Rhinolophus ferrumequinum: one gene and its partners. The protein of the gene in region 1 purifies or fractionates together with the protein of each later gene. This does not show direct contact. Links are inferred from orthologs where the notes say so. Each region holds a gene or a part of one and is shown in the gene's direction. Other genes may lie near its edges. The genes, in order: SRSF3, LARP1 and NCBP3.

Region 1 (9,955 bases):
TCCTTACACCAAAGGCTGCCGGTTCCATTCCCACATGGGCCAGTGGGCTCTCAACCACGAGGCTGCCGGTTCAACTCCCGCAAAGGATGGTGGGCTGCCCCCCTGCAACTAATCAGACCTGGAGCTGAGCTGCGCCCTCTACAACTACGATTGAAAGAACAACTTGACTTGGAAAAAATCTTGGAAGTACACAATGTTTCCCAATAAAGTCCTGTTCCCCTTCCCCAATAAATCTTTAAAAAATTTTTTTTAAACTTTGATAAATTTAATATTAATCAAAACACCAGAATCAATCATATTCCTTTCAAGACATAACCCCCCCTCAGAGAATGAAAAGTCTAGTTGTCACCTAGAATCTTCTATGTGTAGGAGGGAGGAAGTCTCCTGATTGCACACACTTCTAACCTACCATTATATTATAGCAGCTCTCTGAGCCTTCCAGAGAGAAACATAATAAGTATTCAATTAATGTTTATTGACTGAATGAATGTGACTGATTCATCTTGCTTTGTTGAAAGCACTTATTAGGCACTTGGTAAGGACTTATTGATATATGAATCAATACATGTATAAAATGAACATTTTACATATTAATAAAATTTTAAGTCTATCCCTCACCTTTGTGCTCAGCAACACTGGCTTCTTTATTTATTATTTTAAAAAATTCTTCTAACTTATTACAGGAACTTTACACATTCTGTACCCTCTTCCAGGAAACATTCTCTCCTCTCACAAGCTTTGCCTGATATCTCTGCTTTTGCTCATTCACTTCCTCCGGGAAGCCTTCTTTGGTCTACTTAATCAGGCCAATCTCTCCTAAGGTATGTTCTTAAGGCACCACTTCCTTCTCCAGACCATTTTCCACATAAATAATTTCACTACTACTTGTGTAGTTTTTTTCTCTAATGTTCCTCTATATTGGAATTTAGACCCACTCTGGCAACCTGAGGCTCTGTTTTGGCTTACTACTTTTTCCTCTAAATCCATCTCAGTGTTTGGAAAATAGAAAGTACCTAATAAATACTTCTTGAATGAATGAATGGTTGTTAACTATGTAATATGACCCAAAAAACTATTTCAGGGAATCATATAAAAATACATAGAAGGGTGATATCTCAAAACATCAAAGCAATTAGTTATTTAAAAAAGCTTAAAACTATGTAATTTGCAGAAAGCACTATTTTCACATAGTTGTTCAGGATATGAAACTAAAATGAGTTTTTTATTTATTTGATTTTTTTTGAGAATTTATTTTATTATAGTAAAAAAGTTCTCCCTGATTTTTTAAGTTTTATTTAAGTATAGTTGGTATACAATATTGTATTAGTTATATTAGTTTCAGGTGTACAATATAGTGATTCAATATTTTTATACCTTACAATGTGATCACCCCACTAATTCTAGTAATCATCTGTCAACGAAGAAACATCCTGCCTAAGGGAAACTTGTAAGAGTTTATTTGAGCCAAATTGACGACAATTGCTGGGAAGCAAAGTCTCAACGGATTGAGAAAATGCTCCAGAAAAATGGCCATTTTGCAACGTATTTTATACATTAGAATCAAAGGAGGAGAGTTGCATGAAATCCATCCGTTGTAGATTAAGGGGGTGGGAGAAAGCAAAGCGGAGAAATCTCTGGGATTGGATATAAAGCAAAATAGAGAGACACACACTTCTTTTACATTGGTGGGTACAGTATAGTTAATACCATTTTACAGCACAAAGAGATGTTACTTGGGTAATTAGATAACAATAAGCGATATTGTAGTTTCCTGTTCTGGTGTGGTGGGTTGTGCCCCCTGAGGGATCCAGAAAAAGGGATTACTCTGATATTCCAAGTGTATGTTATCTTAGATGGGAAAAGGACAACAGATAGGCTCACTTAAGGTAAGATTGACCTTTGTCAAGGAAGCTACAGGCCAAGGATATGACTTCCCGCCAAGGCCACCTTAGGAATTTTTATGTTCAAGCCATCCTATGTGGTTATTTTCAGTCTCCTGAGCTTGTCAGATTTAACATGTGGCCCTTTTCCGTCCACAATATCTGTCACTGTGCAAACTTACCACAATATTATTAACTATATTCCTCTTCATCTTTTTCACCCATCCTCCCCACACCCTCCCTTCTGGTAACCATCCCTTTGGCCTCTGTTTCTAAAGTCTGTTTTTATTTTGTTTTCTTTGTTTTTTCAGGTTATACATATAAGTGAAACCATATGTTTAAAATGAGTTTTTGAATGATTATGTGTTGTAATTGTGTGTGGTTAGTTTACATTTGTCCTGGTAGATCAACATTGCCCAGTAGAAATATAATGTGAGCCACACAGTTAAAAAAGTATAAAGCAATAGATGAAGTTAATTTTAATACTATACTTTCTACCTCAATACATTACAAATGTTATCATTTCCACATGTAATCAATATCAACATTAATAATGAGATATTTACGTCTTTCTTTTTAAATACTATTTGAAATCCAGCATGTATGTTACATTTACAGCACATCTCTGTTCAGACTCAAATAGCCACATGTGCCTAGATGCTGCTATTAAACTGCATAGACTTAGATTAGTTCTCCAGTTTGCTCTGCTCTGTGCCCTGGGAGGCTGACTTCTAGGCTTGCATCACCCAGCTCTCGCGCCCTCAGGTTTCCAGGTGACTTTGTGCTATATAGGAGGCACCATGAAAAGATGGAACTATGGGAAGAGAGAGTAGTTCAGTTTTTCCACCTCTGACATCCCCACCTCCAAAAAACGCACACAAAAAACCCAAAAAACCAACAAACCACAACTGGGCTGTTGCAGTGCCTTTACCTAGGGTCACAGTGACCTCTTTTTTGTAGCTACAGTACTTAGCTGGTTCTGGTAACCCTGCTCCCTTCCTTGCCCCATTGGGCCTAAGAGCTGCCTCAGGGAGTCCCTCCTTCCCTTGCGGGTTTCCTCACCCTGCCCATACCTCTGTACATAATTACCTCTTCAGTAACTCTTTGTTGAGTGTGCTATGTGCTTCCTGCCATGACATTGACTAAACCAAGTAATTAATGAAATATTGTTAAGGTCTATACTCTTATTAGATTTTCCTTCATGGATACTTGAAGTCAACCATAATATTTAAAGTATTAATTCTTCTACATAGATATTCATGCCTAGCCATCAGTAACTTTTTTTTTTCTTACATTAAAAAAGGAAAAGTACTTAGTGAATTGGTAACAGGTGAATTTTTTTAGAATTGCAAGATAACTTGGTGCCATGGTTCTCAACTTGAGGAAGTGAGAAGTCTGTGTCAGAGTAATTTCTATATTTGGAATCTTTTCTGTGTACAAGTGACAGGAAAAAAATCAAGTCAAAGTGGCTTAGGCAAGTTGGGGGAGGAGGTAGGGAACATGTATGTTCAAATAACTGGGAATTCTGAAAATGGAACTGGGTTCTTCAACAAGAGGTCCAGGGCTCCTTATTCCCCATCTCTCAGCTCCCCTCCCTTAGGTTGGGTCCACCCGAGCCTGCTTCTTCCCTTCTGGAAACAGGATGGCTGCCCTGGCTCAGGACCCCACTGGTCAGAGGAAATGAGCATAACCTCTCTTTGGTTGGCCTAGCAGTAGTGCTGGAATTAACTGCTGACTATTCTTGGATTACTCATCCATTCTAATTAGGGTGGGAGTGGGGCTAAGCACTGGAATGACTTAATTAACCAGGGGTGATCTTGTCCCTACCCCTGAAAAAGTGGGTTGTAGGGCCCAACCAGACCTGAATCAGTAACATGGTTTACTGTGAGAAAGGTAGTTTCCCAAAGAAAATCAAGAGATGTTCACTGCAACATATGATCCCCATTCTCTGTCCCTACCAAGAAATTCTGATAGGTTCTCTTGAAGCTTCACGTGGTTCTAGGATCTAGACAAGAATGGTTGGTGGTTGAATAAATTTAAAGGAACAGTAAGATATTCCTCAATTTAAATGGATAGATAATTCATTTGGCTGTGGTTACCAGAAGATAGAAAGTGTGTGTGGATGGACAGAGGAGGTTCAAACTGTATTCATGAATACAGTCGGAGGGATTAAGAGTGCTCCATTAAAAGATGCAAGCTCGATTAGCATTACACACACAAACGAAAAACTCAGGAAAATTTGTAGGAAAGAATGGGATACGGAGATGTGAAAAGAACATTTAAAAAGAGTCAGCATTTTTGGAGAAGAAATTGTGCCAGGTGATTTGCATATATATTTCTTTTAATTACTTAATTAAGTAAACAAATATGTATTGATACCCTGCTGTGTGCCAGACTTGTTTCCAGGCCCTGGGAACACAGGAAGGACCACAATAGACAAACGCTGAAGTTTTATGGGTAGAGACAGCACCTACATAACAACCCTGCAAGGTACCAGCCCATTTCACAGAGAGAAAAATTAACCCTGAACAGGTTAAGGGATTCTTTTTAAGATACTTTAGCTGTAAGTAGCAGTGAGGCTGTGGTCCAAATCCAGGACTGTCTGACTCCACAGCCTTTGCTTTGGCAGAAGAAAAACTTAAAAAGAGGAGAAAAGAGGAGAGGAGCAAGTCAAGGCAAATATAAATGAGCCAGAACAGAAAAGCATTTAGAGAAGGAAAAAAAAGTAAGATGTGAAAGAGAGGGTTTGCTAGAATCCCCCTTCACCTGGGAAACACCGCAGGTAAGGCTGGTGCAGGGCCTGGCTCAACAACTTTAGTTCCCATTCCCCCTCCTCCCCTGTAATTCCCATTTTATAGGTGAGAAAATTAAGGCTCCTGGTGATTAAATCTTCGTATTTTTTCCCCCACAATGGAAAAATCTCTTAGAACCACAATGGGAGATAAGGCTTCAAAGGAAAATATCTGGGAGATCTAAGACTTAAGTAAATAATTGTCATATCTTGAAGCTAATGACAGTAGATACAGGTTATTGTTGTTTTTCCTTTTTCCTTGAGAGCAGATTTAAATAAATTTTAGCAATATGTAAGTCAAAGTCCACTGCAAGGGGGTACAGGAGAAAGTTTGAGGACACCAGACACACTTCCTACCGTAGCTGAACTCCCTCTTCCGAATAGGAAGGTCATGGTGATTTTACTAACACAACTGCAGTATTTCTCTCCCAACAGTTAATAATTCTTGCGGCTCTGTCTTCCTAGGCGGAGTGGAAAACAGAGGAAGGTGTGAGTGGCTCACGGACCCCCAACCCTACACCAGATCAACACAACAGCCTTTTCCAGGAGAAAAACCACACGTGCCCTTCCTGGCATTTGTTCTGGGGCCCAGAATTTAAATTCAGTCTTCTTTAGGAACTTCCTTTTATTGTTATTCGGTAAAGGTGATAGTTTCCAGACGGCCTGAACGGTCTCATTTGCCTTTGAATTTCTATTAAACATTTTAAGAGTTCAGGCTGATGACACCACCCGTCTCTGCCAAACCTTGCAGTTGGGGTGAGAGGCGGAAAACCAGCCAGAGTCGGGCTGACTTTTCAGGATCGGGCTTTTCCATAAATGTAGGACCTGGGCGGGCACAATCTGATGGCAGCTGGGTCACAAACAGCCCAGTGACCGTTGGAGCAACTCTGAGGCACGTTTGTAAACGCGATGGTCTTAGCTGCAGCCCAACCGCTGGCTAGGATCAAGTAATGAATTCATCTAATATCTAAATCTTATTAGGAGCAAATGGCTCTATCAGTGTTTGGGAGTGACCGCAGTAGTGTTAATAACGCCAGTCGATTTGGAGACGAGGGAGAGGGGATTGAAAATAACTTGGAGATCGGCAACGGGGGAACACCTGAAGAAGCTCCACGTTTGAGGCGGCTGGAGCGCAGGCATATGCACCAGACCACCGACCCGACGGCGTGGCCAGAGCACGCTCCCAGCAACCGCGGTTCTCGCTGAGTTTGTAGCCTTCACGTCACGGCCTCTTCGGCCTCTCATTGGGCGAGCCAGTCCAATCACGTGACTCATCATGCCGTATAAATAAAGGCAAGGAGACAGCGGTGGTCCGCCATTTCGTGGACGCCGGGTCTGTGAGAGTGCTTGTGAAGCTGGGCGGAGGGGAACGGAAGAGCCGTCCGTGGGTGTGTGGATTTGAGCCTCCGTATTTCTAACCCAAGATTTCGGTAAGAGACCAGCGTCCAAAGTAGTGAAGAGGCAAATGGAACTTAACAGTACCGAGGTAGGGCCAGGCCCAATGGCGGCGCCAGATTGAGACAAAGAGACGCCGCCGCCATTTTGTGACGTTCTGCACGGGGCGGTGGCGGGGGCTCCAGGACCCCCGAGGCCGTACCCCGGCCCTGAAGTGGTGTTTATAATCCTCAATTGGGGTAAACTGGGACGTGGGATTACCCAAGAGTTGAAACAAAGGGGGAGCCGGTAACCGTTTTGTACTCCAGGCCGCGCGGCCTTTGAATTTATGGCGCCTTTTTTTTTCCCTCCACGTTTTCTTAAGATCCTAGGATTTTTTTTTTCTCAAGGCACTAATCAAGATTGGACTTTTCGGTCCGTATTAAATGGTTTTTGTACTCACCTTTGTTTTCATTTTATTTTAATTTGACTTCATATTTTACAGCCTGGACCCATTTTTTTAAACCGATTTTCCGTGAGCAGTGTTGTTCTTGTAGCTACTTCCCATTAATCTGTAGGCCTGAAACTGGTCACGGCAAAGGTTTTCTTGTTTTGTTTTTTTAAAGTCTCCAGTGGTTTGGTCTCAACTCCTGGGCACAGGGTGGGGTCACGCAGATAGCATGTGTCTGGACTGGTTTTTTTAACTGGATAAGTCCAGAGTAAAAAGAATGTGTGGTGTTTGTTCATGAAAAGCCCTTGAAGTGAGTTATTGAGTAGGGTGCTCTTTGATGCAATTGAAACCGGCCTACAAGGTGACTAGAACCATTGCTGAGGCGACTTGGAGGTGAAGGTTTATCAAATACAAGCCCCAAAATTTCAGTAAATTCCTGCATAAGAAACACCTAATTTTTTCCCCTTGAGGTGATATTAACACAAGATTCATTTTAAAGTGTGTAATTCAGCGACAGTACATTCATAATGTGGAACTATCACATCGTTAGTTCCAAAACATTTTATTACCTCTCCTGAGGACTCGACCTGTATCAATTAAGCAACCACTCCCTTTTCCCCAGTGCCTCCTGCCCAGCTTTGGTAACCATTAATCTGTTTCTGGATTTACCTGTTTTGAACATTTCATATACATGGAATCGTAATAGGTGCACTTTGGTGTCTGGCTTCTATAATTTAGCATGTTTTTGAGATTCGTCCGTGTTTGTAGCATTTATTAGTACTTAACTGAATAATTCATTGTATGGATAATACATTTGCTTATTTACCCATTGGTGGACATTTGGGTTAATACCTCTGGCTGTTAAGAATAGTGCTGCTATGAGATAACGTAAAAAAAAATACATAACACCCTTGCTGGTTAGGAATGAAGCTGGTTAAAGTTTTGGCTTATAAGGCAAATTAGTAAGACTTTTCTAATGGTTTAGCCTTAACTACTGTTCTCTGCATTGTTTGATTTGGTTTTTGAGCTTCCAAAGGATTTGCATCTGAGGTTATCCTACTTTTCTAAGTGCTTTTGTTCAAGATGAAATAACAGGTAAAGTCCCTAACTCAGTGCCCAGATTTTAGTAAATGTTTCTCCAGTGTTTATTTTTCCCTCTCTTTTTAAGGAGGCATTCTTAAGCAATTTGTGCTGGCTTCCTGACAGTTATCTGTAACGATCAGAGAGAAATGGGTGTTTCAAGAGTGGTAGTTTTACTTTTTTTATTTGTATTTATATTTTGGCATTCTTAAGAATTTTTTTTTCACTGTAGATTATTTGGGTAAATTAAAATATTTTGAGTTTTTTTGTTTGTTTTACAGAAATGCATCGTGATTCCTGTCCATTGGATTGTAAGGTTTATGTAGGTAATCTTGGAAACAACGGTAACAAGACTGAACTGGAACGAGCTTTTGGCTATTATGGACCACTCCGAAGTGTGTGGGTTGCTAGAAACCCTCCCGGCTTTGCTTTTGTTGAATTTGAAGATCCCCGAGATGCAGCCGATGCTGTCCGAGAGCTAGATGGGAGGTAATTTAATGATTGATTTATACTAATGGTGAATATGTGTTTCTAATTTTTAAAATCCCTGGGAATATTTGGTTTTGGATGACTTCCTGGTTATCAAATTGATGGCTAGAGATTTACATAAAACTATTTTGCAATCAAAAATAGGGCTCAATAGTTTTAGTAGAGTTTAGTAGGAAGTTGACTGGCCTTTGAAGAAAAGTTTAATGGTCAGTTCTTGGTGGATTCAGCTACATCTAATATATGGTTGCAACATTTTAATCTAAATTGTTCATTGTCAGTTGTGTTGTCATCTTTGAATTGTTTCTAAAACAATTGTGGAATTAAATATCCTCTTTAAGAGGATGCTTGCTGTATGTAGCTGGATGATGGTTAACATGGGGACCATTATTAAACCATTATCTTTTGTGTTTGAAATGCTTCCTTTAGGAAGTATGGATTGTTTGGCATTTCCTTTTGTAATTAGTGCCCTATTAAGGTAGTTGGCTGATAAGTAATGCCTGAGTCTTAATAGTGAATCCTTCCACCATCTGTTTGGTTTTGCAAACCATTGGTTTTCATGAAACCAAGGAAAATTGTTAATCCTTAAAATCCCAAAATTAAATGGTCTGAGGGTTGGCTGTAAAGCTGTATAAAAGGTTGTGTATTCAAGAAGATTGCAAAAACATTTCCAGACCCCCACCTTTTCCCATTGTCCAAATATGGTGGCTTATCTAAACTTAATGATTATGGGCCAATGAAGAAGTGAGTGAGGAATAGTTGCCTTTTTCTACTATTCTCAGCTGCACTTTCTTGGTCAACTATCAGGATGGTGATTGAGGGGAAGGGGTGATGTAATGTAAAATGACCAAAATGTTTCTGTCCTGTTTATCGCTCTGTTTACATGGATGTGGTGGGGGGGAGACCAACAAATACAGTGTAGTCAGATCAGTTAAACAAGTGCTGAGATCTCCAAGGAAGAAGTCACAACAGGATGTACAGATGAACTAGTTCTTTGAGGATGAATTCAGGGGTTTTCACACTTTAATTGCAACTGTTAAATTAACAGAGTCCACTGATGAGACTGACTCTTAACAGTAAGGAAATTGGTTTTCTTTAAGAGAAAAAAATATGGGAACAAAAACTTGTTTCGGTATTAAGGATTCTACAGGCATTCGGATGTGTTTTTGCTAAGACACTAACTAGGAATAGTTTTTGCTTTAACACATGTCTCTTAGAAAGTGTGGCTTTAAATGCAATGTTTCTTACCTTCTAGAACATTATGTGGCTGCCGAGTAAGAGTGGAACTGTCGAATGGTGAAAAGAGAAGTCGAAATCGTGGTCCACCTCCCTCGTGGGGTCGTCGCCCTCGAGACGATTATCGGAGAAGGAGTCCTCCACCTCGCCGCAGGTACTTGAGAGAGAGCGTGCTTAGAGGTATTGGTGTAATGGAGTAGCTAATAGGAGCAGGTATTTCTCTTAAACTTTGTTGGTGGGTTTTAAACTTACTGTGAAGAATCGGAAGTTTTTATGAAACATTTGCTGGGTGTAGTTTGGGGTATGTGAGTTGTGCTGAGTGTTGGCTTTTGTCTTTAGGTTCATGTTGGTAGTCAGTAACTTCTATCTTGGATCTATCTTCTAGTTCATCTTCTAGTTGCATCTTTCCAAGTCTTCCCTTGTACTTCAATTTAGGCCTTTTTCCATTTCTTGACTCCATAATGACAAACATTACATTCAACTCTAGCTCTTCACAAAAATGTGTTTTCTACTATTAGCACGATTGTAATATTTATCAAACAGGCAGCTGTTTTAATGTTACAACTGGTAAAATAGAAATCATTCTGAAACTAAAGTCACTGACCAATAAAGGGGGCTAAAAAGTAATCCCAGTCATCTGTTCTTCAAACCCAAATA
Region 2 (10,696 bases), on another chromosome or scaffold:
GTGATACAACTGACTGCATGGAGGGGATTTGCAGTGATGTGGAGGCAATGCTCATAATACAACGTTAAGAGAGGGACAAAAGCAAAAACTGAAACTGCTGATGTGTAATACCTCAATTATGTAAAATACACATAGAAAAAAATAGTAGAAGAAAATATACCAACATGTTGCTAGTGATTACCTCTGGGTTGTGGGCTTATGTGTGAGTTTTGCTTTGCAAGACTTAACTATTTTTTGTTTGCTAAAGTTAGCGCATTTTACTTGTATGTTTTATCATTTAAAAGTATATCTATAATCTATATATTATATATAATAAATACATTTGTTAAATACATTATACATTTTATATATTTATATATTAAATATATATATATATATGTTTATATATATATATATTATATATATATATATACAGTCGTTTCCCGCACCCTCCCCTCCATCCATGGTTTCACTTTCCACAGTTTCAGTTAACCTGCAGTCAGTCCAGAAATATTAAATGGAAAATTCCAGAAAGAAACAATCCATAAGTTTTAAATTGTGTACCATTCTGAGTAGCATGATGAAATCTTGAGTTTTCCCACCAGGAACGTGAATCATCCCTTTGTCCAGTACATCCATACTGTATATGCTACTCAGCTGTTAGTCACTTAGCAGCCATCTCAGTTACCAGATCAGTTGTCAGAGAGAGAAAGGAGAGAGAGGGAGACCACAGTCACATAAGTTTTATTATAGTATACTGTTATACTTTTTCTATTTTATTATTATTGTTGTTCATGTTTTACTATGCCTAATTTATAAATTAAACTTTATTATAGATATGTGTGAGTATAGGAAAGAAACATAGCATATATAGGGTTCAGTACTATCTACAGTTTCTGGTACCACTGGGTATCTTTTAACGTATCCGTCTTGGATAAGGGGGGACCACTCTCTGTGTGTGTGTGTGTGTGTGATTTAGCACTTGACCTTTGACAGTGTTGCTCTCGTTACTAAAACATTGATGTGATCAGATGATCAGAAATGATCCTGCATTCATTCATTCATTTTCATTTCTTTGTCCCGTAAAGACACAGAGGGCCTGCTGTATAGAAAGCACTGCTGATGATTTCTACAAGGGATACTAAGAAGAATGGTGTATAATCCCTGCTTTCAAGAAACATAACATAATCTAAATAGAGGATAAGACATACTCCTCAGTAACCATAAGTGAGGGTAGAAAGAAAGTAAAAAATATTATATGCTTTAGGGAAATTGCCACTGGGAGTTAAGAATGGGAAAAAAATGTACTCTACCTGTGGAGATTCAATCAGACTTTGTGAAGAAGTCGGCATTTTGTATTGAGCCTTGAAGGACAAGTAGAATTCTGGACAAGTAGAAATGGAAAGGTATTATTGGCAATAATAAAAGTAATGAAACGTAATATTTACTTAGCACATACTATGTGCCAGGCATTGTGCTATTAAATTACACACATTATCTCATTTAAGTCTCACAGAAGCCCTATGAGAGAAAGTAGTATTATCATCTCCAATTTATAGGTGGGGAAACAGAGGCTTAAAGAGAGGTTAAATTTTTGCCGAAAGTCATGAAATGGAATTCACACATACACAGAGGGTGCCAAGAAAATGTATACACATTTTAAGAAAGGAAAAAAACGATTAAAATTGTAATACTCAATATATACCGATAACAAAAGATGAATATAAGCCACATTTGACTTCTGCAATTGCAAGAGATACTCAAAGTGGTCACCATCAGTGTCCAGACTCTTCTGAGTACGGCCAACTACTGCTTGAGCAACGTTGACCAAAGTGTCCACTTGTATATATTTTTTTGGCACCCCGTATATATGAGTGTATGTGTATGAACAGCTTTGTCACAGTGAGAGAAATAACATGAATTGAGGCAGGAAAGCATGGGGGGCCCACAGGGGATTAGACAGGGAGTTTCCTGAAGGTGGGGAATATGTGTGTCTTGCTCAGCTCCCCATATTCAGGGCCTGGGCAGTATCTGGCACATTGTAGATGCTTAACAAATTATTTTTTTTTTAAAGATTTTTTTTTTTATTGGGGAAGGGGAACAGGACTTTATTGGGGAATAGTGTGTACTTCCAGGCCTTTTTTTCCAAGTCAAGTTGTTGTCCTTTCAATCTTAGTTGTGGAGGCTGCAGCTCAGCTCCAGGTCCAGTTGCCGTTTCTAGTTGCAGGGGGCACAGCCCACCATCCCTTGCAGGAGTCGAACCGGCAACTTTGTGGTTGAGAGCCCGTGCTCCAACCAACTGAGCCATCTGGGAGGCAGCTCAGCTCAAGGTGCCGTGTTCAATCTTAGTTTCAGGGGGCGCAGCCCACCATCCCTTGTGGGACTCAAGGAATCGAACTGGCAACCTTGTGGTTGAGAGCCCACTGGCTCAATGTGGGAATCGAACTGGCAGCCTTCGGAGTTAGGAGCATGGAGCTCTAACCGCCTGAGCCACCGGGCCGGCCCTTAACAAATTATTTGTCGAGTGAAAGAAACGGTGAGTGGTTCTCTGTTGCTGGAGTCTAGGGTGTATGGCTGGAAGTCAGAGGGACAGGGAGGGATGTGAACGGGGGTATTTTAAGCAGAGGCAGGACCATCAAAGTCCATCCAAGTCAGAGAGCTGGCTCAGCCAGAGAATAGTTAGTGGGAAGTCTGTCATGAGACCACTTGAGAAGTGCAGGAACGCCAGGGACGGTAGCAAGGCTGGGGAGAGTGACTGCTTAGGGTAGAATGGAGGGAAAAGAAGCTGAGATGGTGCCTGTCTCTAACTCAGAGTAGCGAATGTGTTAGAAGTTAATTCTCTATCAGACCTTCTTCACTGCAAACCCACCCTGCTCCTTTGCCAACCCCCTTGGGCCTCTGAGCCTACTTCCTCATCTGTAAAATGGGGATAATCATATTTACGGAGAAGAGTTGCCCTGGAGGTTAACCAGGTATTATGGGAGCAGTCAGCACCCTCCCCTACTCCTCACCTTACACATTAGCTATTGCTGTCTACATCTACTTCCCACGAGGAGATCTAGGCTGAGCCTCCTCCCATGAACTGAAGTAAGTTTCTTGGCATGTGCCAGAAGGCCCAAGAGTCTCCAGGGTTTGGAAAAACACTCCCCAGCTGGCACTGTTTGTTTTGGCCAAGGTCCCTGCCTTTGCTGACCCCACCCACTCCTCCATGTCGGTATAAAGAGGCCCCTGATATCACAAGCAGATAAGTGGTACAGCCCAAGTCCTCCCAGAATCACAAGGTCCTTTGGAAAATCAAACTCAAAAAGGAATAAAACTGTGCATCCATGTGTGTTAAATTTTCTTTCCTAATAAGCACAGACAACTCAAGGAATCACCCTCCCCCCACTCCGCTTTTACCTATGCCCCCAAAAAGACAGAATAAAGTTTCGTGGAAACTATCATTTTTCACACTCATCAGCCAGATGGGCAGCTATTATGCTTCCCATTTTGTGGATGGGGAAATGGAAGCCCAGGAAGGAGGCTGCCCAAAGTCATTCAGCAAAGTCGGAGATGAGACCAAGGTTATAAACCAGGTCTCCTGGCTCTCTAGTCTCTCGTGTGGCCTCCTCTGTCTCTCTTTAGGACATTGTCAGCACCAGGAACAAACAAACGCATAATTAATTACAAAGAGGTATTTGGAGCCACTTTATAATTTTTATTTTTTAAGTTTGATTTTTCTCACTGTTTCTGCATGTGTTTTCAGTACATGACGTGTGGAGGTCTTGGGCACAGCACAAGTTAGTCTGATCCTTGTCCCTTTCTGCCTAAAGCCTATCTTGTCTTATCTCTTTTCGGCCTGAGGTCACCTATTGCTTAATTACTTGCCCCCCATCCCCCCAAAAAGTTTACCTTTGGGAGAGACAGGACTCAACATTTTTAGTTATCTTCCCCAGGCCTATGTATTTGATAGCAATGGAGGGAAGAGAGACAGGCCTTACTGTGTGGTGTGGTGGGTAAGAACAGGTCCTGTGGGATTAGGCTGCCCTGAAAAAGCCCACTCTGATATTTAGCTGCTGCCTGGGACCCAGGCACCCACCTTACATTTCTTTTTGAACTTTGTAATTGTTTGGAGTTGAAGATACCTTAGGGCCTAGCCTAGTGCCTGGCACATAGTAGGAACTCAATAAATATTCGTGGGAAGAATTAATACCTATCTCATTGGGTTGTTGTGAGGATTAAATGGGATAATGAATGTCAAGTATTTCTCAGAATCTAGCATACAGTAGCTACACAATAAAAGCTACTTTTAACTATTTGGTCATTATTAGTGTTTAGAACTGAACCCATGCAAATAGAATGCCATGGTGGGTTAGGAATAAAAAAAACCTTGGATTTCAAATCCCAATTCCATCATTTCATGTAGAAAAAACTATTGGATTTAGGATGAGGAGACTCAGGTGACGGACCTGGCTCTGCCATGGATTAGCTGTGTGACATCTGATAAATAACTTTTCTTCTCTGAATTTCAGTGTCCTCATCTGCAAAACAAGGAGATTAAGTAATCATCAAGATTCTTTTTTTCTTGCTTTAACAGCTCATTGTAAGATGTAGTCTCACACCTGTCTCTTATCTTCTTTGGCCCCAGTTTGCTGGGTTTCTTATCTTCTCTGGCCCCAGTTTGCCCAGCGCACACAGGTGTTTAGGAGCCGAGCCCCTCCCTGGGTGTGCAAATGCCAGTGCCCCTCCTGCCTCCATACAGCAGGGCCTGGCAGCACTTGTTCAGCTCAGACTGACTGCTGAGTGGTGTAAATTGGTTACTTGAACACACAGAGCCCTGATGCCGTCATAAGTTGTATAGGGGCACTTTTCCTTCTGCCTCCATTACAGGAATATAGAAAAGAATGATCAACAAATGACTATTATGTTTCCTATTAACAAAGTTTAGAGAGAGCCTAGTGTGGAGACTTCAGGAACTATTTATCAATAAATACAAAAAAAAAGAATGCATTCCAGTGGCAATGTGCAATAATTTATCATCTGATTAAAGTTATATACAAAGCAATTATGGAAAATTCTGCTTAAATTCATTGAGATCCCTTTATTATCTTCCTTGGTACCTCTTTTGAAGCACTGGCCTCGGTTTTTATAATTTACACAGCTCTTTGACTCGCACATTATCTCACTTGACTCCTCACAATAGCTCAGAAGGTAGAAGCAAGTCAGGCATAATTTACCCCCATTTTTCCACCAGCAAAGAAGGCCCAGGGAAGTGTGGAGAGTTGGCCACACAGTACAGTGTCCAAGTTCCGGAAGAGTTGGGCTTAGACATCATATTGCCATCATCTCTCTCCAATTGTCCTGATTACAACAACCCTACAACTAGCCTTGCCCTATGGGGCAGCTCCAAGAGGCTTTTCAATAAGCCTTCTCTATCCAGCAGGTTGTGGTTTCTAATCATTGTCTTGGAGATGGCCAGATTTCTGGGCTGTTATATCTTGAGCAGGTGGGATCACCGCCAGAAACCCGGACTTCTCCAAGTAAAATGTGGGATCACCTGGTGGGTAAGTACCCAAGGGAAGTCTTGTTAGACATGCAGATCTCTGGGTCTAATCCCAGACAGACTTGATTCCAAACGCTTTGGAATATGCATTCAATGTTTTCATCGTCCAAACTAAAGTAGCTGATCTAACCTATTACTGTAGTCATTATTGTCTTCATAGATACTAGACAAGGACTTGTTAATCACTTAATTTTGTCTCTCTACCTTAGAATGTAAATTTCATGAGCATAGGGACTTTGCCTGGTTTATTGCCAAACCCCGTTTCCTAGAACCCAAAGGCCCCCACAGTACGAGGTCAGTAAATATTTATTGAATTGTGCACTAAATTTTGAAACCACTGTTATACACCACTCTTTCGCTTTACAATAGGGAAACTGAGGCCCACTGAGGAAATGACTGCTGCAGAGTTGATAAGGGGCAACGCCAGGGTCAGGATAAAATCTCAGACCTCAAGAGTCTCAATTGGGCGTTGGTTCAACTCCGACCAAAGCCAATTCTTTAGAAAAAATGAAATCCACTTGAAATAAAAGACATTTCCTGCCCATAAATGCCCAGTTTCTGGGGCTTGGCCGGTTTGGGATCTGTTGGTAATTCGGTTCCCACTTCCTAGGCGCCCACTGCCCCCAAGGGTTAAGGGCCCGACTTCCCGGCCGGGCATCGAACCCTTCTCCAGGCAGTATTCCCGAGGCCGGCGGGGAGGAGCCGAGCACAGTCAGCAGAGGTGAGGGCAGCTAGCCCAAGGTCACCCGGACGGCGCTTGGGGGGGCCAGGCCCGCAGGGCACCAGGGAACCGGCGGCCTCCGCGCTACTTCGGGGTGGATGGGCACCCCCGTCCATCATCTTGTAAGACGAAGGTGACATTAATGGTTCCTTCTCCCGAACCTGGCACATCCAACCTAAAGAGCGTGAGCAGGCCGTGCCGGCCGCGTGGCCCGCTCCCATGTGCTCCACCTGCGGCCGCTCTTTAGCGCTGGTCCTTTAAGACACCTCCCCTTTTTTACCCCCCCCCCACCCCACATCTCTCCTGCCTCCTTCATTGCCCCCCCGCTCCCGAATTGCATCAGGCACGTGCTCGCCCCCGTCCGGTCTGAGCACCCCCTCGCCCCCTAGCCTGGGAGGTGCACTGAGGAATCGGAGGCTAGGGGCGGGGCGGTGGGCGGGGCCGCGAGGCCGTGCGCGCGCGCTCCCGCCGCCTCCCGCCCGCCTGTCGCCAAGGGTCGGCCTGAGCGGGCGCGCCCCCGCTTCTCTGCCCCTCCCCTCGCTCGCCGCGTCGTGAGGCGCGCGCCCGCCCGCCGCCTGCCGCGGATCGCGTGGTCGGCTCGGCTCGCCGCGCCTCTCCCCCGTCCGTCCATATTGCTGCAGCCCCCGAGCCGGGAAGCCCGGGCCGCCCCGGCGGCGGGGGGGAGGGAGGTACGGGACGAGAAGCCTGCCAGGCTCGGGGTGGGGGTGCCTTGCGAGGAACGGGCGGGGGGGGACGCGCGCCAAGGAGGCCTGGACCGCAGAGTGGGGGGCCTTCCACCCCCCCCCGCCCCGCCAGCGGCCTGGGATCTAAGGCGGCTGCATCCAACCGGGAGTGGGACCGCGCCTAGCGTGAACCCCGACCCTTCTCCGCAGGGACTGGGGCCCAGCTCTCCGGAGGAAGGCGTCGCGGGCGCTCTGAGAGCCAAGTTCGAGGCGGGGGAGGCCGCCTCGGGCGCGCCCGGCTTCTCCGGGGGGGCGGGCGCGCAGATGGCCACTCAGGTGGAGCCGCTGCTGCCGGGGGGCGCCCCGCTCTTGCAGGCCGAAGAGCATGGGGGGCTGGTAAGGAAGAAGCTGCCGCCGCCGCCCGAAGGCAAGGGCGAGCCCGGGGCGAACGACGTCGGAGGGGGGGAGTCGGACGGCGGCGCCCGGAGACCTCGGCCGCCCTGCGCCAAGCCACACAAGGAGGGTACCGGGCAACTGGAGCGCGAGAGCCCGCGGCCCCCGCAGCCACCCGGCGCCGAGGGCCTGGCCTTCAGTGACGGGGAGGAGGGCGGCGGCGGCGAGCCGGGCGCTGGTGGAGGAGCGGCCGGAGCCGCGGGCGCCGGGCGCCGAGACTTCGTGGAGGCCCCTCCGCCCAAGGTGAACCCGTGGACTAAGAACGCTCTGCCGCCGGTCCTGGCCACCGTGAACGGACAGTCCCCTCCAGGTGGGTCTTCCTGTTTGCTATGCAGGGTCCGGGGGCCTTTTCCGGGGACATAGGCGTCCCCTCCCCCAGCGGCCTCCAGGGCCTGGGGTCCGCCGCTGGTGGTGGTGACTCGGGATTTTTTTTTTTTTAATTGCTTCCTGGCTAATTCGGGTCGCTGTGCCCTCCCCACCGACACACTCGGGAACCTGTCCCTGCCCGAGTGTCCGGCCTCCAGGAGGCCATGGCCACCGCCTGGGCCGCAGCGGTTAGTGGGCAACGGCGTGGTCCGGGCCTACCTCGCCGGGAGCGGGTGGGCGCTGGAATCGGTGAAAAGAATCCTCTCTCCCACCGCGTGTTGGTGTGAGAGACGGTTCCTGGCCTAAACCTTCGGGAAGCCCCCTCTTCCCACCCCGCCCCACGCTCCTCGTTTTGGTAGCGTTGCGATCGTCCCCATGTTGTAAATGTTTAATGAGCATATGTCATGGGCAGCAAAGCGCCCAGCGATGAGTTCATATCAACTCCACGGGTTCGACATTTAGAAGTTAATAAGTTTTGTTCTCAAGTGTATGATATTAGGCGGTAGAATCGCCATTGACGACGCGTTGAGGGGTCGGTTACGAAGAGAATGGGGAGAAGAGGAAACCCAACGTGTCATTGAATTCGGTGCTTTCCCTCCCCGATCCCGGGGATCTTCCGCCTTGAGAGGGAGCCGGATGGCGAGTGTGCGGGGGACCCAGTTAAGGGGTTGGCGGAAAATATGAAGCTAGCGAGGGGGCTTGCGGCGGCACGAGGGGCGTGTGGCGGCGGGGGAGGGAGTGGCCGGGCTGGGCGGGCGGGTGACAGTTGGGCGCCATGCGCCGCGCCGGCGGACTGCTCGCGGCCGCTCGGCCTGTACATTCCGCGCCCGCCGCGGCGCTGGGGGTAGAAGGCGGGTGCGGGCTGGCGGCGCGGCCGGGAGTGTGCGTGTGCGCGAGTGTGAGTGCGCGGCCCCCCTTCCCGGCATTCCTCCGCAGCCGGGACAACGTGGTGCCTCCCCGCGCGGGGAGCGGCATGTGACCGCAGAGCCGCGCTCTCCACGCCTTCTCCCTCGTTTTTTTTTTTTTTTGTTTTTGTTTTTGTTTTTGGTTTTTTTTGGTCTTTTTGGGCCTGGTCTTTTGGGGAGGTGGGGGTGCAGGAAGTCCTAGCGGAGCCGTGTCAGCGTGGGGAGAGAGGCGGTGAAGAATATGGAGGCTCGTCTGGGCCTCCCTTTGCGGAGAATAGACGGTCGCCTTGGGTTGGGGGCGCGCCCTCTCTCCTCGGTTTGCCGGCGCGTAAGGGCAGAGTGGTTCTGGATTCTTCGGTTTGGGGTCCTTTTGAAGTGGACCAATACCAAAACCCGTTTGAAGCTAGAAGGATGGCTTGTGGCCATAGCCCTAATGCTTTTTTCAAAACTCCTCCCCTTCTGCAGTCGCTGGTTGAAGCTGACTGGTTTAAACCATCGAAATGGGGAAAGTTGCAGGGGGGTGCTTAATACCTTCACATTCAAGGGAGTAGAATCATTCGTAGTCGTAGGAAAACCAGAACAGCCAATTCTGAAAATGGCGTGTTGCAATTTTTATTTCTTTTAAGGTTGCTTCATTTGGAGGAGGAGACACTTGGGGTTTACTAATAGTACCTCAAACCGTGTTCTCTTCCTTCTGCCCTTCCCCCCTTTCCCTTCCAGAGCCCTCTTATGCAAAGGGCATTGCTGAAACCTCCATTTTCTTGCATATCCCTCTTGATCCACCCACTGAAGGAGGGAAAGCAACTTTAAGACACTCTTTGGTCCTTCCCCCATCTTAAAACTCAAAGGGGTATAATCATCCCCAGGAGAGAGCACTCCTCAGAAGTTTAAATGGGGCTACTCACCCTGGCTGCTGCTGCTTAGCCAATGGTGAGCCTGCCTGTGGGTTTTAAATCAATCATGACATCAGGTGGTATTGGGTGCCTGAGCTGGCATTTTGTGCAAATCCAGGGACCCTTGATAGGGTGCGTCACTGGGGTTATTGGTCGCGGGAAGAAGACAGCTTGGCTGGCATCTCACCTTTTCTTCCAGTGGAGAAGCCAACTTGCATTAAGTGCCCAAAGCAAAATTCTGAGTCTGGTAGGTTTGCTCTGTTGTTTTTCTGGGATCTTAAGGCAAGAAAGCGTCTTCTCTATTCATTGGTGTTGAACCTTTGGAATAGTCTTGGACAGACTAACTGAATTAGTCCAGTAGCTTCTCTTTTTAAGCCTGTAGTTAGGGCTTGGATGCTTTTTGAGGGAAAATTCTGTGATCGACTTGTCTGTCTGGTAGGGTTCTATGGGGGTCCTGTCTTTGGAGTCTACATGGATAGCTAAGGCCCTTTTCTAGCCCTGGTTTTATTTGCAGCTTGGACAAGTTTAAATGTGACACCAATGGAGTGGCAATGTGGTCTTGGGAATTTTTGTGTTCTGTAATGCATATGTTTTTGGGAGTCTACAAAAATGAGTGCCTCATAAGCAAGCTAAAACCTTTCCAAAGCTTGTTGCAAATGCCTATTTTTAGCCCTTCCTTTTGGCTCAGATGCTAGTGTTTTAGTTCTGTAAGGGCCACACGCAGTAACTAGTAATAAAAGATGTTTTTCGATAATCCACCCTTGTAGGGTTCTCTATTCTGGTTTAAGCTTCCACGTCTTACCTTTGTAGTTTCAAATCTTGGGATTTGCGTTTTGGCTTGTTGTATTTGCCTCCCCTAGAATATTTTGAAAACATTTAAAATTTTTTCCTTATCCTAGCCACAACTCTAAGTGTAATGGGAGAGGCACAAGATGTTTTCGTTAAAAAAAAAATGATGTATATATAGCAGAAGTTCTGGGGTCAAAACTGCATGGGTTCAAATGCCAGCTCTTAACACTTGCTGACTGTGCCTCCTCCGGCAAGTTCCTTAACCCTTCTGTGCCTCAGCTTCCCCATTTGTATACTGGAGATTAAATTATGATTTATCTGCCTCTTGAGGCTGTTGTGAGCATTTATTGTGATAATGTGTAAAG
Region 3 (10,719 bases), on another chromosome or scaffold:
GGGGCTGGTTAAACTTTTCCACGCTTGGTCTCCCCAGAGTCCAGGGAACCATCCTTAAGGTGCGGAAGCTTTCATAGGAGAGGCTCCCCTTGCCTTCAGGTGCTCTCCTCTCCTTTTAGGCATTCTGTGCCAATGCCCACCACCTCCCCAGGAAACCCACTCCAAAGCTGCGAGAGGGCTCCCAGCTGTGGTCTGCCCCATCCCAATTCAGTCTAAACAGTAGTGATCAACCTGGCTACATGCTAGAATCTCCTAAGGAGCTTTTAAAAAATCCTGATGCCTGAGCTCCACCCTGATTTAATTGGTCTGGGGTGCAGTCTGGGTGTCAGGATTTTATTTTATTTTTTAATTAATAGACTTCGTTGTTTGGAACAGTTTTAGGTTTATAGAAAAATTACGTGGAAAGTACAGAGTTTCCATATACTCTCTCAACCCCCTCGCCTGCTGCCAACCCCCCCCCATTTCCCCTATTAGTAATATCTTGCATTAGTGTGATACATTTGTTACAACCGATAAATGGATATTGATACATTGTTACTAATGAAAGTCCACAGTTTACATTAGGGTTCACTCTGTGTTGTAGTTCTGTGAGTTTTGACAAATGTATAATGACATGTATCCATTGCAGTTTTATACAGAATAGTTTCACTGCCCTAAGAATCCCAGTGCTCTACCTTTTCATCCTCCACTCCCACCAACCCCTCACTCTCCACTCCTCTAACCCCTGGCAACCGCTGATCTTTTTACTGTCGTCGTAGTTTTGCCTCTTCCAGAATGTCGTACAGTTGGAATCATACAGTATATAATCCTTTCAGCGTCCTAGGTGACTAAAACTTTCATTATTGGAGGCCGGCCCGGTGGCTCAGGCTGTTGGAGCTCCGTGCTTCTAACTCCGAAGGCTGCCAGTTCAATTCCCACATGGGCCAGTGGGCTCTCAACCACAAGGTTGCCGGTTCGACTCCCACAAGGGATGGTGGGCTACGCCCCCTGCAACGAGCAACGGCAACTGGACCTGGAGCTGAGCTGCGCCTTCCATAATTAAGACTGAAAGGACAACTTGAAGCTGAACGGCACCCTCCACAACTAAGATTGAAAGGACAACAACTTGACTTGGAAAAAAGTCCTGGAAGTACATACTGTTCCCCAATAAAGTCCTGTTCCCCTTCCCTAATAAAAAAACAACAACTTTCATTATTTTAAAAATTGAAATATAATTGACATATAACATTGTATAAATTTAATGTGTACAACATATTGATTTGATACATTTGATACAATATGATTGCCATTGTAGCATTAGCTAACACCCAACACTTCTGTCTCATCATACAATTATCATTTCTTCTAGTGGTAGGAACAATTAAGATCTAGTCTCTTAGCATGTTTAATGTTTAAAATACAGTTTTGTTGTCTGTAATCACTGTACTGTGTATTAGATCTCCAGGATTTATTTATCTACTAGTCACAAGTATGTGCCCTTCCCTAGACGATTTTAATGAACATCGAGGATTGACATGAATAGCTCTGGTCTAGAATTTGGTAAGGGAGGGTGTATGTCTGGTGCTTCATGTTTCTAAATCTAATTCAGGAAAAGGTTTCATTTCCTTCTGATATGTCCATCCGTCCATCCATCCATCCTTTCAATATTTGTCCAGAGCTTTTTATCACCAGGCACTGAGTTAAACACTAAGCTAAATCAACACCGTTCCTACTCTCATGGCTCTCAGTCCATCGCAGGACACAGACATTAATCAAGTTGCCAGGCACATGTGTGGGTGATTTTGAATGGATATGGGCACTCTATAGGAAAGGCTCGCAGTGGTGAGTCTCTGGTTGTGGTTGGGGAGGTTTCCCCGAGGAAGGGAAGCCCCAGCTGAGATCTGAGTACAGTTGGAATCATACAGTATATAATCCTTTCAGCGTCCTAGATGTTTAAAACTTTCATTATTGGAGGCCGGCCCGGTGGCTCAGGCAGTTGGAGCTCCATGCTTCTAACTCCGAAGGCTGCCGGTTCAATTCCCACATGGGCCAGTGGGGCTCTCAACCACAAGGTTGCTGGTTCAGTTCCCACAAGGGATGGTGGGCTGCGCCTCCTGCAACGAGAAAGAGCTAGCGAGGCCAAGGGGGAGGAAAGAAATCTCGAAGCAGCGAGACTAGCTTGTGCAAGGGCCCTGTGGGAGGAGGGACAATTTGCTTTCCAAGAACTGAAGTAGTGATGTTGGGAGTAAGGAGGAGAGTAGTGCCTGCAGCTGGAGAGGAGGAAGGGCTGGATAATGTGCTGAAAAGAGGAGGGATAGGAGTGGAGGAACCAGAAAAACAGAGAAACCAGTGAGGAGGCCACTGCAATGTCCAGACATTGCAGAGGTGATATGTTGGTGGCTGGGATGGAGAGAAGCTGAGGGATGAGAGCTGAAAGGAGGGACAGAAGCAGATGGGCACGAGGGATATGTGGGAGGTCAGACTGACAAGACTGTGTGGCCGTGGCTATGGGGGTGGGAGAGGAAGGTGTGAAGGGTGGCTTCTGGCTTCCACGCTTGTACACCTGGATTCACTACAGTGCTGATCAGGGAGGTAGGGAACACAGGAACGGACCCGGCTTGGAAGGAGGATTCTGACTCTTAGTCAAGTTGAGTTTGAGGTGCCTTGAGACATTCAAGGGAAGATGTCCAATAAGTAGTTGAACATATGGGTCTGGAGCTCAGAGGAGAGGGCAAAACTGGAGATGCAGATATGGAGTCCTCAGGCTGTGGATGGCCGTGGAATAGGAAGCCATGGGTGTGATGAGATGGCCCAGGGAGTGAGCACGGGGTGAGAAGAAAGAGGGCCCAGGATCGAGCCCTGGGAGATTGTTAATGCTGCGGGAAGGAGGAAGAACCCTAAAAGGCACTGGAGCAGGCGTAGCCTGGGAAGTGAAAAGAAAACCAAATGTGATCATACAATAGAAGATTGTGTGTGGTTTCAAGACCTGGGGAGCGGCTATCAGTGTCCATGATGCTGAGTGGTCCAGTCAGGTGGAGAAAGTGAGGGAACACAATCCTTTCAAGAATTTAGCTGTGTTGGGGTTGGGGAGCATACGGGGTCTGACAATTAAGTTTGTGAACTCACTCTAGAAAAAGTGCTGCCTACCTCATTCCTGAATATCACTACGGTCACCTTTGAAGCACTCCCCTTGGGAAGCTGTGCACCGACGCCAGAGCCTAGTCCACCCTTCAAAGCAATTTTGAAACTCTTTTTCTGGAATGGCCATCAGAGCTGTCGTCATATTACCCTTGATGTCCTGAATGTCATCCAAATGTCTTCCTTTCAATATTTCTTCTGGTAAAGAAAGAAGTCATTGAGGCCTGGATCAGGTGGGTAGGGAGAGTGTTCCAATACAGTTATTTGGTGACTGGCTAAAAACTCCCTTACATGCAAGAGCCATGAATTGTTGGGGAAAATTTCAGGTCGTCTAACTTTTTCACACAGCCCGTTCAGCGCCCAAATAGTAATAACCTTGGTTATCTGTTTGTCCAGTTGGTACAAATTCATGATGAATAATCTTTCTGATACCAAAAATAAGTTAGCAACATTGTTGCAACAAGCCCACGAACTTGTCAGACGCGGTAGATACATATATCTTCTGCATCACGGTCAGCTGCCTCAAGACCTTTTCTTTCACTGTAGAAGCTTTTCCTTAATTACCAACCTGCACATATTCCAAGGACGTGAAATGGGGGTGTGGGTTGTGGGTGTCCAATTTAAAACCGCATCAAAGAACAACTCTGAATCAGCAGGGCATCACCTCAGGCCCGTGGACCATGTTACCAGTTCTCAAGTAGCATTTGATAGGAGCTCATATTACCTTTTAATGGCTTTTCCCTTTTTTATCCCAGGAGAGGTAGGATCCCATTATTCATTCCCCTCTTCCCTGGAAGAGAGAAGGAGTGGCCAATTTCAGTCAAAATTTTAAGAAAGAGGAATCTTTCAGAAGACCCTTAATATCCTCTTTGTCCCTTAGCCTCCACCTTCACAAACTTCTCAAAAGAGTTGTCCACACTTCCGCAAATTCCACTTCTAATCTACCGTCCTCTTCATGGACATCGTCTCATCAAGGTCACCGATGGCCAGCAAACCTCTAGACCCAAGCCAAGTTTCACTGTGAACTTATGGCTGCCCTTGATACCTGATCACTTCCTGGGTGAAACTCTTCTTTCAGTCTGTCCCAGTGTCCCACTCTCCTGGTTTCTTCTGTTAATAAAAAATCATCCAGACTTTGGAAATAGGAAAAAAGAACAGGAAAAAGAACTACACTGATATTCTTTCAATGTAGTGCCAGGTGTACCTATTTTGCCCAGGGGTTATTGATTCTCTAGGGATGTGTACCTTTGTGTACCTTCCGATTTACTATCTATTAGGGCATTTTACAGCTCTGTAAGGGTAGAAGTTAATTTATAGAAAATTCATAATGAGCAAACAATTCTTGTCCAATAGCGATGCAAATGTTTTCTATCTGGTAGAAAAGGAAACCCCAAAGGTTACAGTTTTTTTGCCTTGTAGGACATTAAATTGTGTTGTTACATTAATTTCTGTGTTCTTTTGACTGACCAACTCTGTATTCATTCCCAAATTCTTTTTTGAACCAGTGTTAATATCTTTTCGATGTCTTCATCCCCTAATGAATGAATAAAAGCTTTGACATGTGTTCATTTCATATTGGGGAGTCATGTTTTTCAACTTTTCTTTTTTTTTAAGATTTTATTGGGGAAGGGAACAGGACTTTATTGGGGAACAGTGCGTACTTCCAGGATTTTTTCCAAGTCAAGTTGTTGTCTTTTCAATCGTAGTTGTGGAGGGCGCAGTTCAGCTCCAGGTCCAGTTGCCTTTGTTAGTTGCAGGGGGCACAGCCCACCATCCCTTGCAGGAGTCAACGAGTTGAACCGGCGTCCTTGTAGTTGAGAGCCCACTGGCCCAAGCGGGAATCAAATCTTCGGCGTTAGGGGAATGGAGCTCCAACCACCTGAGCCACCGGGACAGCTCTCAACTTGTTCAAGAATTATTTTTGACCACTTCTGTTTCCATGGCCCCACTTCAGCAGGCTGCACCGAGGACAGGAAAGGGGGGCGGGTGGTGAGTCAGGTGACTAAAAAGAGACAAAGACATGAAGGGCTTTCCTGACGGAAGTCTAGGAACCCTGGGGTTAGCCTGATGCCCTGACTTGCTCTGGATTTCTAATTCTCCTGCCAGCTAGAGCTCTGCCACAGGAGCTGGTTCTCCCTGAACGCAGTGCCTGAGTCCTCAAGCCACAAGGCTCCTCCCACCCTGCAGGGTGAGAGGCCTGCCCAGCCTTTTCTGCTTTTCCGGGTGTCCATAGCTGAGAAGGGATTCCTCCTCTCCTCATTCCCCAACCCCTCAGGCCTAGAAAACACGTGTAATGGTGGGGTTTGTCACTGTCGCCCAAAGCTAGCCACCCCAAGCACAAACTTTCTCTGAAATGTTCTTAAAAATTCACACAAATGCATTCCATGCATGCAACCCCATTTTGTAACTAGTGTCCCTTTTGTCAAAACTAGCCCTCTCAAGAGCTCCATCTTTTTTGTCCTGTGATTTAGCCCACATTTAAGAAGAACTGATGCACTGTGTCCCTTCTATTTGATCCTGTATCTACATGTAATTATCTCATTGAACCCTCACACCTCCTTTGGGGGTGAGGAATGTCCCATATTACTGCTGAAGCAGCTGAGATTCTGAAGTGGTAAGTGGCTTGCCCAAGGTCACACATGGTGTAAGGAGCGGAACCAGCCAGTTTTGATGCTGATCATGCTCTCTCTTGGTTTATAATTATTTGTTCCTCCATGATCATAGCTGGCAGGTCCTCAGGGACCCCAGGGTCCCACCCATGCCCTCCTGAGATGGGAAGACAGGCCCAGAAAGGGACCAGAACTAGCTCAAGTTAACACGGGGAGGAAGGTGCAAAATCTGGACTCAAAGCAAAAACTGCCCTCTGGAAGCTTATAGGACACTCCCCCTCTCCCAACCAAGCTCTTGTTGAAATGTCTGCAAGAAACCATGTTCAGAACCTTACAGTGGACTAAGCCCTCTGGAGTCAGGAAATTGAGGGTTAAGCTCTGGCCTTTGGGCAGCTCACTACCCTCTCGGAGTCTCAATTTTTGTGTATGTAAACTGGGTCAATTATTGGGACACCTGAAAAAGACTAACGTTGTTAGTAAGGCAAATACATTGTAAACCTACAGAATACCTAGAGGTGACAGACCAAAGCTCATTCTGGGCTCTGGAGCCAGATTAGATTGTCTAGGCTCAGATCCAGGTTTTTGTCTCTTAAATAGTCTGTCACCTTAAGTAAATTTTTATGCCTCAGTTTCCTTATATGTGAAATGGGGACTAACACTACCTACTACTTCATAGGGTTGTTGTAGGGATTCAAGCGCTTGTAACAGTCACTGGCACGTAATGACCTCTTAGTAAAGTTAGCTTTCATTACAGGCTTACTGCTCTAGGCGTAACTGTTAGTTCTAAGCCCAGAAAATACCGATCTCCTCCAGGCCCTGCCCCCTCCAACAGGCCCGTCCCCATCTCCATTCGGTCCCGCCTCCTCATCTCCAGGTCCCGCTCCAGCCTGCCCGGGTTCCTCCTGCCACCAGGGGGCGGCAGCGCTAAAGGGGGAGGGGCATTCTAACTGAAGCTGGCGACGCTCTAGGTAGCGGCGGCGGCTGCTCTGTAGCCAGTGGCGGCGGCGCTCTAGCCAGCGGGTGTGCGGGGCGGGCTCTCAGTGGTGCGGCCGGCGGGCGGCGATGGCGGCCGTACGGGGCCTGCGAGTGTCGGTGAAGGCGGAGGCCCCAGCGGGGCCGGCCTTGGGGCTCCCATCGCCTGAGGCGGACTCCGGTTTGGAGCGTGGCGAGCCGGAGCCCATGGAGGTGGAGGAGGGCGAACTGGAGATCGTGCCGGTGCGGCGCTCGCTGAAGGAACTGATCCCGGTACGGGCGGGGGACGGTGGGCGAGGAGGAGGAGGTCGCTAAGAGAGCGAGTGCCCCGCGCCGAAGCGGGCCGGAAAGGGAGGCGGCCGGCGCCCGGGCTGGGGGAAAAGTCAGGGGAAGGGGAGCGAGGGGGGCGAGCGCGGGGGGTGGGGGAAGGGGGCTCCAGGCTGGAGGCGAGACCCGGAGCGAGAGAAAGGACGCTGGGGCGCCCGGAAATGGGTGTTGAGGGGGCTGGAGGAGGTGGGGTAGAGCTGGAGGGTACTTAAGGACGTCCCTTTCGCTGCCCCTCTGAGCTAGTCTGTGCAAGGGGGTGATTGAGGAGGGGCTGGGATTGTCTAGGGGCTTGAGATAAAGGGGGAACCCCAGGCGGGAACAGGACCAAAAGTGGCCCAGAAAGAACTGTGGCGCCAGCATCCAGCCCTCCTTGTGGGTCGTGCTCCGGTGGAGCTGGTGTCTGTAAAACCTAGCACTCGCGGGTTTCTCTTGGAAGGGTGGGACTTGTCAGCAGCAGGAACTCAGTGTTTCTGTTGTGGCTTGAGGGCCGTCTTGTCCCCCATGCAGCCCCACTGCTATGTAGCACCTACACCGTGGCCCCAGCATCTGACCCTTAATGAACCCAGAACATCAGCGAACAGCAGTGGTCCTTGGTCTGTTTTTTTAATCACAATGGAGATACTGAGAGGTGTTTTGCTTGTGGTTTGGTGGTCCAGTGTCCGGTTCTTATGGCTGGTCTCAGACCTGCATGGCTCTTCTCAAGTACTTAATTTCTCACCCAACACAAACTACTTTTTACCACGTCAGCAAGACATGCTTTTAAATTGAAATTATGGGGAGAGGTGAAGGTGGGAATCACTAAAGATAGCAAATGATAGTGATTCTGGTAGCAAGGATGAACAAAGTGGCATTTTACCATTAACTACATTGTATCATTTAAATATTACCCAGGTTGTGAAGTCGACATCATCCCTTTATTCGTTCAGTTTAACGTGTGTCTATTGCATCCCTCACTACAGGTGCCTGGCACAATCCTAGGCACTTGATCAAGATCAAACTCCCTCCTGGAGTTTATGTTCCAGTTGGAGGACACAAGTAACAATTTCTGATAGTGGTAAATGCTATGAAGAGAATAAAACATGTTAATGGGAACAAAAGTGCAGAGGGCGGGGGGCGGGGTGCAAAATGGGCAGCAGAATGGGATAGGATGATCAGGGAAGTCGTCGGAGATAGTGACATTTAAGCCAAACCCTAAACGACAAAAAGGAGCCAACCATGTGCAGACTTGGAAGAGAGTGTTCCCAGCAAGGGCAACAGTAAGTGCAGAGACTGAGATGGGAACAAGATTGTTTTGTTGGAGAAATGGAAAGTTCTGCAGCATAAGTGAAAGAGGTCAGGAAGGCCTAGATACGAGGGTGGATACCTAGGCCCAGAGAGGCCAAAGGAAATTGCACAGTGTTGTGTAATCTGTGAACTGCGACTTGAGTCCTGAGCTTCCAAATCCCACCCTCTTCACTGCACTGTGCTGTTTTCCCTTGGAGGTCTGGGTGAGTCGGGGCTTTCTGCATTTTGGTGAGGGCTTGTGCTCCACCTGGTGGCCTGGCCTGGTGCCTTTGATCTGTCTGGGTTGGAGGGAGAAGTGGACGTTTTTCACGAAAGCCTTTAGATTTTCACTTACACAGGTACTTTCAATAGATGGAATTACTTCAGGTGTTGCACAGGCTCTGATCTAGAAAAGACTTCTCATTAAGGTGGTTGATGGCTACCAGGGAGTCCCTGGGATGTTGTTTCCTCATAATAAGGGTTGTGAGGGTAGGGGAAGGATTGCTGAAGCGAATGACTATTCAAAAGGCATCAGCTGTCTTTTATTATGAGATTTTCCTCAATAGCTGTAAGCATTTCATACATTTCCCCCTCGTGTTAGGACACAAGCAGAAGATATGAAAATAAGGCTGGCAGCTTCATCACCGGAATCGATGTCACCTCCAAGGTAAGACAGACCAGGATTTATTTATTCATTTTGAGAAGCGGGTGAACTTCGTCCCTAGGACTTGTGGAACTGCAGTTATTCTTTACCTCCTATTTTGTTTTGCTGCAGAATTAAACATTTTTAACTTAAATTTCATATTATACAATGATGCCTTTGTGCATTCTGGAAACATCTGGGCAATATTTTGTTCTCATATTCACGACAAGATGAAAATCACAATACCAGGGTGACTGCGTAACCACATCCAAGAGAAAGTTCTGCACTGGGAATGCTTTTTTTATGCTATGTCCCTTCTTTAAAAGTGCATATACTGTTTCCACTTTAAATGAAACAAAACATGAATAATAGCATTATATTGCTATATTGGCTGTATAAAAGCAAAAATAAAAATAAATATGTCATGCCTATGTTTTATCTGGGTCTCAGTCTGTCAGATGGCTTAAAGGCCAAAAGAAAAAACTGACCTTTTAGACAAGAAAATAAAGTGAAGATGTTTTCCTGTTGTAATTGAAAAAGAAGTGGACTGCACTGTTCTTAATCCTACAGTTTGCCATTATGTGAAACAGATATATGGGGGAAAGGGTAGTAATCCCAGAACTGATACTTAAATTATGGCTAAAGGAAGGTAGATTGTTTGCACTGGCAAGATGTAAGTGAAGAAAATTAGCATAACTATTGGGAAGTAACAGAAGTGTTGCTGCTTTACCAATCCCCACAAGCTTTCTATAGTCAGACCTTCAATTAGTGTGGCAAAGTTAATACACAGTGAAGGGTTCCTAAGAGCTATCCGAAACCCACAGTCGGACCTGATTTATTTTAGCTCTTGAAAAAACTTATGAAGCTGATTATTTTGTTTTTCAGTGAAGCGTCAATGCTTCTTGTCACTTAAGGATGCAAACTGGCAATTCCATAGACACAAGCCTAGAATAGAAGACAGAGTTTCTTTGCCTCAATGTTATTTTTAAACCAGGAAAAAGCCTTAGGGAGTGGACTGCTCAGGCATACATAATGTGGAAGAATGCGATAGGTGTGATTACCATGCAGACAGTGTGAAGTGGGCGTGGTGGTAGGGCTCCTAGAAATAGCACTGAGATCAGAAGATCTGCCCCCCCTTACTAGCTGAAGTACCTCCCGCAAACCTTTTAACTATTTTGTGCCTCAGTTTCTGCACCTGGAAAATTGGGAAGTTGAGATTGTTTGGTTGTAATTTGTTCAAAGACTGATTGCTAATAATAAATGAAATGTCAGAGAACTAAAGCATTTATTACTCATTGAATCAACAAATATTCACTGAATTCCTACGCTTCTCCAGACACCATGATAGGCATAGAATCATCATGAAGATTATTGCAAATTATAGCAGCGTTAGTGTATGCCTTCCTAGTAATTGACTTTGAATATCCAGTTCTCTTGAAAAAATTATTAAAGGTACATTGTTGCTTATTTCTCCTGATTTATTTTACAGTTGTCACTGATGCATTATGTTGTGTTTGTGATTGTGTGTGTGATTTAACTTTCCTCGTCCATTGAAACATGGCTTTTTCTGTACCGTCTAGGAAGCAATTGAAAAGAAAGAGCAGCGAGCCAAGCGCTTCCATTTTCGATCAGAAGTAAATCTTGCCCAAAGAAATGTAGCCTTGGACCGAGACATGATGAAGAAAGGTACGGGGCGTTTCAGGGGAATTTTTCCCTCATTTCCCCAAAGAATAACTTTTCCCTGCTTGGCCTTGTGCTTCTGGCCTTGCCTTGCATGTCCAGGTCTCA

Evidence for each region.
Region 2: the proteins of SRSF3 (region 1) and LARP1 purify together in Homo sapiens (co-immunoprecipitation; 3 studies listed by BioGRID and IntAct, with this or other methods). This does not show direct contact. The link is inferred for Rhinolophus ferrumequinum from reciprocal best matches to the Homo sapiens genes SRSF3 and LARP1.
Region 3: the proteins of SRSF3 (region 1) and NCBP3 purify together in Homo sapiens (co-immunoprecipitation; 3 studies listed by BioGRID and IntAct, with this or other methods). This does not show direct contact. The link is inferred for Rhinolophus ferrumequinum from reciprocal best matches to the Homo sapiens genes SRSF3 and NCBP3.

Annotation. Positions count from the first base shown.
Region 1 is NC_046286.1:6,458,959-6,468,913, forward strand, and holds the start of SRSF3 (serine/arginine-rich splicing factor 3), read left to right. Parts: upstream 1-5,973; 5' UTR 5,974-6,101; intron 6,102-7,857; 5' UTR 7,858-7,859; coding exon 7,860-8,065; intron 8,066-9,317; coding exon 9,318-9,452; intron 9,453-9,955. UniProt on the Homo sapiens protein: Splicing factor, which binds the consensus motif 5'-C[ACU][AU]C[ACU][AC]C-3' within pre-mRNA and promotes specific exons inclusion during alternative splicing.
Region 2 is NC_046307.1:25,612,936-25,623,631, forward strand, and holds the start of LARP1 (la-related protein 1), read left to right. Parts: upstream 1-6,812; 5' UTR 6,813-7,249; coding exon 7,250-7,688; intron 7,689-10,696. UniProt on the Homo sapiens protein: RNA-binding protein that regulates the translation of specific target mRNA species downstream of the mTORC1 complex, in function of growth signals and nutrient availability.
Region 3 is NC_046304.1:14,689,479-14,700,197, forward strand, and holds the start of NCBP3 (nuclear cap-binding protein subunit 3), read left to right. Parts: upstream 1-6,731; 5' UTR 6,732-6,788; coding exon 6,789-6,971; intron 6,972-8,889; coding exon 8,890-8,955; intron 8,956-10,511; coding exon 10,512-10,617; intron 10,618-10,719. UniProt on the Homo sapiens protein: Associates with NCBP1/CBP80 to form an alternative cap-binding complex (CBC) which plays a key role in mRNA export. NCBP3 serves as adapter protein linking the capped RNAs (m7GpppG-capped RNA) to NCBP1/CBP80.